Alligator mississippiensis: one gene and its partners. The protein of the gene in region 1 purifies or fractionates together with the protein of each later gene. This does not show direct contact. Links are inferred from orthologs where the notes say so. Each region holds a gene or a part of one and is shown on either strand. Other genes may lie near its edges. The genes, in order: CUL5, TULP4 and SPSB3.

The links.
Region 2: the proteins of CUL5 (region 1) and TULP4 purify together in Homo sapiens (affinity purification with mass spectrometry; 4 studies listed by BioGRID and IntAct, counting the BioPlex papers as one, with this or other methods). This does not show direct contact. The link is inferred for Alligator mississippiensis from reciprocal best matches to the Homo sapiens genes CUL5 and TULP4.
Region 3: the proteins of CUL5 (region 1) and SPSB3 purify together in Homo sapiens (affinity purification with mass spectrometry; 4 studies listed by BioGRID and IntAct, counting the BioPlex papers as one, with this or other methods). This does not show direct contact. The link is inferred for Alligator mississippiensis from reciprocal best matches to the Homo sapiens genes CUL5 and SPSB3.

What each region holds. Positions count from the first base shown.
Region 1 is NC_081824.1:437,106,282-437,110,028, reverse strand, and holds the start of CUL5 (cullin-5), read left to right. Parts: upstream 1-920; 5' UTR 921-1,120; coding exon 1,121-1,144; intron 1,145-3,747. UniProt on the Homo sapiens protein: Core component of multiple cullin-5-RING E3 ubiquitin-protein ligase complexes (ECS complexes, also named CRL5 complexes), which mediate the ubiquitination and subsequent proteasomal degradation of target proteins.
Region 2 is NC_081824.1:136,414,518-136,418,264, reverse strand, and holds the start of TULP4 (tubby-related protein 4), read right to left. Parts: upstream 2,992-3,747; 5' UTR 2,811-2,991; intron 1-2,810. UniProt on the Homo sapiens protein: May be a substrate-recognition component of a SCF-like ECS (Elongin-Cullin-SOCS-box protein) E3 ubiquitin ligase complex which mediates the ubiquitination and subsequent proteasomal degradation of target proteins.
Region 3 is NC_081836.1:29,583,598-29,587,344, forward strand, and holds the start of SPSB3 (SPRY domain-containing SOCS box protein 3), read right to left. Parts: upstream 2,800-3,747; 5' UTR 2,708-2,799; intron 2,683-2,707; exon of another isoform or gene 1-2,682. Other genes in the region: cytosolic Fe-S cluster assembly factor NUBP2, read left to right, coding at 3,239-3,257.

The DNA of each region.
Region 1 (3,747 bases):
CTTTAACAAAGCCAACATGTTTTGTGGAAAGCAGTAACTTGTTTGAAATATTTAAGTTTTGGGAAAAAATTGGGCAAATTAAGTTTTCAGTATCTAAAAATATTTTTTTTAAATCAAAGCCCAAATTAATCTAACAGAAAACAACCATTCTAATTTGAAAGTAACTTGTATTCAACCACAGCATTACCATTCCCAAGAATTTTAAAAAAATGCTGAGTCCTCAGCAAATTATGACCTTCCTGGTTGGGAGACTGGAAGGGGATGAGGTCTCCCTGGGAAAGATGGAGAGGGCCAAGGAGCAATGATAGATGGAGGGGTTCCCTAAGAGCAGGGGTGTCAAAGACGTGGCGCACGTGTTGGATCCGGCCAGTGGCGCCCCATCATTCGGCCCCGGTGCTGCGGTGTTGACCTGGTCTCTGCATGCAGCCTGTACCCGACTGGACCCCACCAGCGGATGCAGGATTGCACGGCCCAGAGCCCACGAAGGAACCAGTACAGGGCTGGACTGCATGTGGGGCCGGCTCCGGCCAGGCCAGGCTCTGCGCTGCACGTGGCACGTGCTCCAGGGGACCCGGGTGGGCACCACACACACATGCAGCGGGTGGCAGATCCGCCCTGCACAGGTGCTGTGTGCAAAGCAGCAGCTGGACCGGGCTCCGCAGTGCGCCGGATCCAGAAGGGCCGGGGGTGCACGGGCCCGACCTCACCCCGCTCACCCCGCCCAAGGCCCGGCCCGACGCCACGCCTGCTGCCGGGGGCGGGGGCGGGGGCTCCCGCGGGCTCTGGGCCGGGGTGCCGGCGAGGCGGCCGCCGGGCGGCAGAGGGCGCTGCCGCCGCCGTAGGCCCCCCGCCCCGCCCCCCCGCGCGCTCCGTGGCGGCGCCGCCTCACGTGCCCGCCCCTCGCATGGAGCCGGGCCGCGGCCGTGTGTCCTGGGCGGGCGCCGCCATGAGGCGCTGAGCAGCGGCGGCGGGGGGGGCAGCACCGAGCCGGCCGCTCCGGAGCCCCGAGCGGAGCCGCGGGGGCAGGGGCGGGTCGCGCGGGGCCATGTAAAGCGGGGGCGGCCCGAGCCCAGCCCAGCCCCGGCCCGGGAGCGCCGCCGCCCGGGGCCCGCGGGGCAACATGGCGACGTCTAATCTCCTAAAGGTGAGAGCGGCGCCGGGCCGGGCCCCGCGGGGAACAAAGAGCCGCCGGGCCTGGCCGCTGCCCCGCGGTCAGCGCCGCCCGCAAGGCCCGGCCCGACCCGGCCCGGGGCTCCCGGCGTGGGGCCCGCGAGCAGGGTGGGGGGGTCTCGGAGCTGTTTCGTGGGTAGCACGGGAGCGGGGGCCGGAGCTGCAGCCCTGTTCTTCCCTGGGTGGCTCCTGCCAACCTGTTACGGCGCCTGGTGCCAGGCGACCTGCGGCCGGGGGCGAGGGGCACATTGCCCTGCTCTCTGCTGGGGAAGGAGCGGCCTTGAGGGCTGGGGACCTCTTGCGAAAGGGCCGAGTCACGGGGGCTTGGCACCCGGAGGAGAAGGGGTGCCAAGTTCCCGGACGGGGGCAGAGGATGTGGCTCCGATCGCTTGACCCGTGGGGCGGGGTAGGGAGTTGCACAAACCTGGTGGTCTCCTGAGAAGCAACGCCAGGGATGTGGAGAGCAAGTTGAGTACTGTTTTGATGAGTGGTGTTTCAGCACGTGGTGTATGGACGGTGTGGTGTGTCACAGTCGAATCTGGCCTGCAGAGGTGGGTCATGCGGCCTACAGGGCTTCTTGCGGTCTCCGGATCCCGCCTGTGGGGCTAGACGTGCGGGCAGTGGGGCAGGCAGCAGTAGTGGTCAACCCCCGTGGCTGCTGTATCAGCCCCCAGGCCGGGGGTTAACACTGCTGTTGCTTACCCTGTTGCCAGATTCCCAACTTAGGATCCTTGCTGAGGATGCAGGTCTGCGATGATGACAGTATTAACCTTCCCCCTTAACTGCCAGAGCTACACTGTCAGAGGAGCCAGTATCCATGGGGGTTAATGCTGCCCCAGGGTCAGATGAGTTTGACACCTCTAGAGTGTCCCATTTGATCATTGCTCTTTCGCCGTGTGATGTTACTTGCAGCGTGCTTGGGAGTTATTGGATACTGACACACTTCCTTTGTGGAAACAGAATTACACAGCCTTTAAGCAGATGTAAGGACACTTGGCCCACCGGATTTGACTGTATTCTACTGGAAAACAATGCTTCTACTAAGTGAGAGAACAGTGTAAGGCATTAACCGTTCAGGGAGCTCTGCATGGCAGCAGGCTTAGGTGTAGCGTGATGACTTTTTCATAAACATTTCATTTCAAAGAACAGTTGCAGTTGTATTCTAAATATACAGTGATGCTTTCTTGGCAAAGGTGGTATAGAAATATGACTGAAAGAGGCATTACTGATGTCTTACAGTGCTTTTAAATAAGTAAAATTAAGTAGTAACTTTTCATCAGAACAGTTGAGAGAGCTTTATAAAAGGCAGCCAAATATAAGGCCTCTTACAAAGAGGAAACTGAGGCAACAAAAACTGCTAAAAGTTGCACAAGAGTTTGATCCAATAAATAGAAACTCCTTCCTGATGCTTAGCAAACTGTTCTCCATAAAGCATACTAGCATGAAGTGAAGCTTGCTTTGCAGTACATTTATACCCTTCCAGAATATGATATGTATATCTCTTTAAACTTTCTGGAAATTGGAGGGATGGCCCTAAAAGATAGGAAAGAAAAGGTCAAGAGCAGGCATTTTTAGGGGACATGTACAGAAGACCATGTGATTGAGTGTGTCAGGTTTAGTTAACCCTACTTTAATCCTAGTAAAGACAAGGCCTGAGAGTCGGTGCAAGCAGGCTGTATCATCGGTACAGTTTCATTGGAGTCAGTAGGGCACTGTATGGAGGGGAAAGTCTATTGCAGGATGGGGTTTAAACTAATTCCTGCCCTTTTGTGTTTCTTTCCCTTTTTAAGTAGTTAATCTCATCCCGTTTACTGGTCCGCTTGTTTGAGCTGTTCTCTTTCATCCCCGTCTCTTGTCTGATCAACCTGGACCACACCAGACACGCATAGACTCTTCAGCTTTCAACTAATATTTCTGGCTCTGTTCTTTGGATACCTCTTGCTGACTTGTTTCTTTTAAGGATTGCCTAAGATGTCAGCAAATAGTTCGTGCTAACTGTAGTTATGTAATGAACTCTTTTGTAGTTCTGATTAATTACCACTTCATACATTTAAAGCCCCACTCTCCTTCCTATTTGCTTTGTGTGGTAACCACTGTAGCTGCACTACCAGTTGTAAGAGTTGCTGGTTAGGACAGGTGGTGATTGATTGCATGTTAGATTTAAGCACTTTTAAGCCATATATCTCGCCAATAAATTAATCTCTTAGGTTGGCACAAGACAGTATTATTATTATTATTAAGTAAAAATAAAAACCCCAACTGCTAGCTACACCAAAGTAATCAAATGTGTGTCTCTTTTTAGGTGTTTACAGGTTTCACTTAGAGACTCCAGCTGAGATCAGGACCTCATTGTGCTGGGCTTTGTATGTACACTGAAGAAGACTCTCCTTGCCCCAAAGAGCTTAGAGATGAAACAGATAAGACAAAGAGTAGGAAGAACAGGCATAGAAGGGTGATGTGATTTGCCTACAGTCCCACAGTAGGTCAGCAGCAGAGCCAAGAATAGAATTTAGGTCTCCTGACTTCTAGGCCAGTGCCTTATTTACCAGTTTCTGTTTTATGTAGGTTCTTGTACTG
Region 2 (3,747 bases), about 300 Mb from region 1:
GGGGGGTCACCAAGTACTGCCCCAGGGAGGAAGCCCCAGCTCATGGAAATCTGATCTGACCTCTTACCTTGTTCTCCCTCCACCCCATCCTAGACCTCATTCCTGGACCCATCCATGCCCTGTGACCTGCCTAGCTGCCATGTGCTCTGCAGACTGTTTGCATGGGATTGCACCCCAGGAGTGGGAAAGTCACACCCCCGTGGGCAGGAGAGGGAGTTGGCTTGGTGCCAGAACCGTCCCCTAGGCAGTAGAGTTTATTCACACAGACATGGAGGATGTGGGAGAGGACAGTGCATCCTGGGATGCTAGAGGACTACAACTTGGGCAGCTCATCTGTGGGGAGTGCCCATACATTAATGGAACATGAGTAGATAACAAGGATCAGTGATAAACCTGCCCTGGTGTGGCATAACTTTAAGCCGCCTAAAGTGTGCTTAAAAGTAGGTTCAGATGTTAATGCGTGGACAATCCAGGGGTTAATAACTCCAGGAGCCACCTAAAAAGTAGTGGGTAACAAGGCCCTTAGATAAAGAAATGGATAATGATGTGTCTTCAGTCAAGTTCCCATCCTGAATAAGAAGTGGATAATATTCTTCATTCTCTTATTTATTTCACACACACAGAGATACAATCAGGTGGCTCACCAGAACAAAAGCAAGTACAGATCTGAACTTATCCACTGTGTTTGCTGGTATTTTTTATCTACTAATAAGTAGATCCCCTTTGTGTAAATCCAGTTTATTTCAGGCCAGGAGTCCCCTATTTATTGAATAAAGGTTTCAGGAGCAAGGTATTAGCTGGTACCTCTAAAAAATACCATATTTTACTATTTCACAAAATCTGTAGCTCTATTGATATAACTGTAACAATTCTACCAGAATTCTTATTTTAATGAGACCTCTTTTCCATTAGTAAATCTGTCTTTTAAAATACAAAATTAAGTCTATCTAATCAAGGTTAAAAGCTCAACACTAGATGTTCAGGGTTCTTACTTTATTCATATAATCATCTCCAAAGCTGTAAATATAAAATCATACAGTAAAGAACACTTGTTATTTTAATGTCATATACCACATATCATGAAACAGATACTTTAAGTTCAAAGTCCTACGCTTCACCATGAGTCTGTGAAGGCTGCTATTTAGAACTGATCTCACTAGTTTACAGCTTCAATATGCAATTCCCAGTTGCATGCACACCCCTTACCAAAATCTCATTTAAAAATACTGTGCGTGGCTCATAGATGGGTATTCCTTGGGCAGGCACTTTTCACCCTGGCAAAATGGACTTGCCTACCAAACTGTATCACTGCAATACATTTCTAAAGGACAAATTAAAAAAAAAAATCAGTTCTCTCTTTTCAAGGTAAAAAAATTATTCCTGCACTTTGCAGGACACCCCACTCAAGTGTTTACCTTGAACACAGGCATTTACTGAAACACGTAGTGTAAGCATACAAGGTGGTGGAAGAAGGGGGAAGAAGGGGAACGAGTTACATTTGACAGGCAAAAATCTTCCCTATCACTGAATAAATTTCCTAACCCCAGAGTGAAAGAAGGTCATGGACAAAACCCAATGTTACAGATACTGCATGGAAGGCTAGAGCTGAAACAGGATCACATTACTCCAGCTTCCCACACACAAGCCAGCACAAAAGCACCCAGCTGCTTACTCTATCCTGTCCTTCTCCATATATTCTAGATGCAAGCCAGCACCAGAAATATCCTCCCTAATAGATTCGAATTGCAGGATTAACACCATTTAAAATTGAGAGAGATAAAAGGTTTAGGGAGGCAATGACATCTACCAGACGGCTAAACAGCGTTGCTCACATTTCCATCCATCTAACACCATAAGGTAAATTAAATCAGTTCAGTTTCTCTGGCAAATCTTCTTCCTTCTCCAGCTACCCTCCCTTAGTGTTTTGAGTGGCGGCTAGCAGGGGGAAAGTTGCTCTGTCTCAAGCTGTTACAAATCAGGAGCACAAAACAACTAGCTAAAATAATACTGAGGATTAGGTATTATTATTATTATTATTATTATTATTAACAAAAATAAAAGATCTCCTTTATCCAACGGCAGGAAACAAGGCTTCTTTCCAAAGGCTCCTGAATCTGTTTTATTTCACACGCACAGAGCTACAATCAGGTGGCCCACCAGAACAAAAGAAAGCATGGACTCGAAGCTGCATGTGTATGCATCCGTGTGTGCCTCTGTGTCTGTGCGCCTGTTTGTGTGTCTACGTGTGTCTATTTTTGTGTCCATGTGCACGCGCAAGAGAGCATCCCTGTGCGCACAGGAATGTCTCCATGCACGACCCTGCATGTACACGGACGTGTGCATTTGCGTGACTGCTCGTGCACAAGAGTGTCTTTGTCCAGGCATGATTCTGTGTGCGTGTGAGAGTCCATGCACGTGTGCGTGTCTCTGTGCACCCTGCAAGCGGGCACATGCAAGGCTGCGCTATTCCATGCGCACGCGGGACTATCTCGTGCCTGCCTGCAGGGGTGTCCCCGTTGCATGCGAGAGGCTCCGTGTGCACGCATGTGAGCGTGTCTGCCTACATGTCTGGCTCCGCGTCTGTGCGTGTCTGTGTCTCCGCGCGTGTGCGTGTCAGGCTCCACCATCCCCGCTGCCCGCTCCCTGATCCATACCCCCCCCTTTCCCAGGCAAGCTCGGCAGAGCAGCGCACCCGGACACCAGCCCCAACCCCCAGAAGAGGAGCTCCGTCCGACCCCCCCCCCGCCCCGCGCCGCTGTTGCTATGCGCTGCGCCCCGGCATCCCCCGTCGCCGCCGCGCTCAGTCTCACCTGCCCCGGGCGCCGCGGGCAGCCGGCCCGGCCCGGCCCAAGCCCCGCGCCCCTCGCCCGTGCCCGCAGCTCTGCTTCGCTCGGCTCCGTGTACGTCCCAGCCGCCTGCCGCCCGCCCGCGCCGGCCCTCCCTGCTGCCGAGGCGGCTGCCGCTGGGCCTGGCTCCCCCTCCACGTGACGCGACCACATGACCCGAAACACTTCCCCCGAGCCCCGCGCGTCTCCTCCTCCTCCTCCTTCCGCGCCACCGCCCGGCCCGGCTCGGCCCGGCCCGGCCCTGTCCTGTCCTCATGGACTTCCCCCCCCCATCCCGGTGTGTGTGTGTGGTTCCCATGGAAGGGTCCCAGGAAGTGGCACCACAGGCACTGGCTTTGTTTGAATGTGAGGGGATGATGCCAGGCGGGAAAAGAGGACGCCTGGCTGACCCCAAGGGTGGAAGCAGGAGTCAGCCCTGCGCTCCCCACAATTACCTCAGGGCTGGGCTGGAAGCGTGCCGTGTGCAAAGCAGCTGGGGTTCTTGTGCCCCCCGGTAGAGGCAGTTCTAAGGTGCCACCAAATCACCGTACAGCTAGCTTAAGGCTGGCACCCCTGTTTCTGCAGCCAAAAGGCAGGTGAGGGAACGATGTGGTTAACGTGATGGGCCGAAGCCTTGGATTCCTCAGCTCAGGCAACTGGGTGGCTCACAGCTGGGTCAGTTGAGTAGAAGGCTGGACTAGGTGACTTGATGGTGGACATAAGCTAAGGGACTTTGAAGAACTAGATAGATTTGAGCAGGAGGCTGGACCAGGATGACTTCGTGATGGACATGAGCTAGAGGACCTTGCGATGGACTTGAGCTGGACTAGAAGGGCCCTTCTGAGGTCCTTTACAGCCCTTTCCTATTATGTTAATTAGGTACAGCCTTTGGACATGAGACCAGTGCGGAGGCTCAAATTCT
Region 3 (3,747 bases), on another chromosome or scaffold:
AAATTCCTCCACCTCAGTAGGAAACCTGTTCCAATGAAACTTGTCTTTTTCTAATGAACAAAAGAGCATTCTTCTGCGCATGCCACCTGCCCTGGGACTTCATCATTCTCCATTCTGTTTCATGCAAATTCTGACAGACACTCCTCTCTTGGCTTCTTCACCTGGACAACTTACACCCAGCTTGCTGCTGTGGGTAATTCCACAAACACAGACTGATCAGTTTTGAATGTTAAAGAAAAGCAGCTACAGGAAAATAAGTGCGTCCATCTTTATGCAGACAAGGTTCCTTGGGTGAATTTGATATCTTTTATTAGACCAACCCAAATGGTTGGAGAATAGTTATTGAGCAAGCTTTCGGGTTCAAAAACCCTTCGTCAGGCTAAGGAAGCTGCAGCAGTTGGTGTGTTCTCTATGCAGCAGTTCTCTGTGCTTCTCTACATCCCACTTCTCCAACCCCACGGAATGCCCAGAGGTAACAAAGGAGCACTGTCCGCAACATGGGAACTGAAAACTATTGCCAAACTACCTCTTCTGCAACAGATGAAGTGATCCTGTGGTCTCTTAGTGCATGTGTGAAGAGATCAAAAATGCTGATCCAAGCAGGATCTGATCCACAAGACCCTGTGGGAATGGTTATGATTTAAAAATTCCTTCCTAACCCTTACATGCCCAGTTGATTCTGATCCATCATGAAAACCTCTCATATGGAACTGGAATCTACTGTACAGAGAGGTGAACCAATGGAGGTTGATGTTTTATTATGTAGAAACACTTCAAAGTGCAAGTGTGAGTATTTGTTAACCCCTTAAACTACTGCCAAAATGTGTACATCTCACCAGCAATTATCTGTGGAAAAGTACAGGAACGTACCGATGAGTTCATTTAGGGAAAAGAGTGCTTAAGATTAGCTTTAAGGAAGTGTTCATCCCCATGAATACTTTGTCCTTTTCAGTACATGGACGGCCTAGTTTAGACTGTTTCAGTTTCATTGGCAGTGACTAAAGATCAAATGGCTTTGCTGTTTTAGTTTTGTCAGCAGCATCTGTAAAGATAGGCAGTCAGACATGAGTCACTATTTATCTGACGACCATAGTGGAAAACTGCTCCTTCCGAGAAGGCTCTTGTCTAGAAACCAGAAGGGTCTAATCCAGGGGTGGACAAAATAAGGCTCGTGGGCTGGATCCAGCCCGCCAAAGGATTCTAACCAGCCCATGGCAGGTCCCTCAACCAGGCCTGGCCCAGGCACAGGGGGCAGCCCAGGCCATGACACACGTGACCAGTCCCACCGTCCCGGGTGCAGAGGTGCCACCTGGTGCAGCCCACCCTATCTGTGTGCACAGCTCTCCTCTCTCTAAAAACTCTGGTCTTTGCTTTTCAGTCATGGGTGATGTAGTAGTTCCAACTCCTGCAGCATCTAGCTATGGATGGGAGACTCATGACTCATGGACAGGAGAACTGACACAAATATAAAAGGCCGTGTGACCAATAACAGTGAAATGGAGGCCAAAGGGGTCAAAGAAAACAACCAAAGAAAGTCACCTAGTACAAAACTGAACATTCGGAGAAAGTCAGCCCTTCACTTCACTTCACTGGATGCTCTCACTACACCTACAGCAGCTGATGACATAGCAAAGACCATATCTTTTTCACCGCTGTAGAGGTGCTGTGCTAGGACTAAGCAAAGCCACTGGGCAACCAAAGTTAGTGCAGAGTGAGTGCTAACGTGCTTAGCAAATGTGTCTTGCCCACAGAACCTTATGTCCCAGCTCCAGAGGCCAGCCTGGCTCCTTCCTCGCCGAGTCCCGGGTATTTCATCCCTTCCACTTCCATTAATCCAGAAGCTGAGGCCAGACAGCCGCTCCAACCAGCAGTGCCTGCACTTGTGATGTCTGGGCCTTAATGTTCTTACTGCAGGAGGTGGGGAATCCGCTTAAACTCGCTGCCTTAGCCTGGCAGAGGCTGCATTTGTTTGCATCCAGGGACTCTGCAGCCTCTTCTCACCCAGGATTTCCCACAGGGGAAGATTAGAGTTGGGGCTGAGGGAGAATTTTTCCTCTCACTGTCCCCCAACCCACTCCCCTGTTTAATGTGAGAGAGAAACAGCAAGGGAGGAGCCGACTGTGGCAGGCCCAGCATCAGTGCAGCTGTCAGTGCAGCGCACACCTTTTTGAGAGAGGGGAAGGGCCGAGAAGAGGGGCCCAGTGCCACGTACTCCCCGCCCCAAGACTCGTGCAAGAGCCAGAGGAGGCTCCGCTCAGCCGCCCCTGCCCCGGATCCCGCCGGAACGGGACCCCCCAGGCGCTGGAGGCCCCGAGGAGGCCGAGCCCAGGCCGGGGGCTGCTGCGCTGCGCGCGGGGGAGCGGCACCTGCCCGCAGAGCGGAGCCGGGAGCGGCAGAGCCCGGGGCTGCAGGGCCGGGCTCGGAGCGGCCCGCGGCAGCACAGCCCAGCCCGGCCCGGCGCCGGCCACGCCGAGGTCACGACGCACATGGGAGCGGGGCGCGGCGGGACTTCGTCGCACGGAGACGGAGTCCGCACGCCCGGGCCCCGACCCCGACCCGCTCCCGCCGAGGGCGGCCGAGGAGCCCCGAGGCGTGACCGGTCGCAGCGGCGTCCGTCATCGCGGCCTGTAACAGCGCGAAGTCTTGGGTCCGGGCCGCGCGGAGCCCGGGGCGGCCAGAACGCCCCTCCCCGCCCCGCTCCGCTCACCTGTCCCCCGGCCTCGCGCCGCCGCTCGCCCGGCAGTGCCCTACTTTCCCCTCCTGAGACATAAACAATCCGCGCTGCGCACCGCCCCCTCCGCTCCCATTGGCTGTGGCCCCCCCCCCCCGAGGGTTCCGCCCCCACTCCGAGCCCGCGTTTGCCGTTGGGCGGCTCGCCCATCGCTCCGCGCTCGGGGGGCGGAGACTAGGCCGACACGCTCTCTTGCTATTCCCTTTCTGTCCCGTCAGTTTTCAGGGCGCGGCATCATTGGAGGATCATCTCAAGACGCCAAACAGAGGGGCTTCGAGCGCGGTCACGTGGCAACTGCAGAGCGCAGAGGCCTTTGGCAGAGAAACGTGCCTGTCAGCAGGTCAGGTCGGGGTTGAGTTCCAACGAGCGTCTTTGATTGGCCCGTGCGAGCCGCGGCACATGCCGGGGGGGTGGAATTAAGTCTGGAGCGCGCCTTTCCATTGGCGGCCGCGCCCATCAATCTCGGTGGCCCGGGAAAGGCGGAAGTATAAGGGCGCCGGACGCAGCATGGAGGAGACGGCGGGCGGTGAGTGGTTTGGTCTCTCAGCTGCACTGGGGCTTTCATGCCGCCGCAGCGAGTTTCTCGGGGCCTGGGCAAGGCGGCGGGGTCCTGAGTACTCTGCCCGGCGTGCTGCGTCCTTCCCCCTGCCGCGCGCTGGGAGGTGGCTGTGGCAGCCCGCGGCCGGCTCCGCTCCGTGTGGCCGCGCGCAGCCTCCCGGTAGCCGAGCCCCCGCTCCTCACTTCTGCCCCCCCCCCCCCCCGCCCCCGGTGCGCTGCCACACAGCCGGCGCCCGGACGAAAGGGGCCGGCAGTCGTGGGGCAGGAAACCTGCGCCCGTGACGGCCTCCCGTAAGCCCTGGAGAGAGGCCGCGGCGCTGAGCTGCGCGTTACCTTTGGTGGACATCCTGATGACTTCTCCCATGGTCAGACCAGCCTCCATGCTGAGGGGGAGTTCTCGCTGTCTGCGGCCTGGTACCTGCTGTCACAGGACCTTGTAGGCTCCTTTCCTGATTATG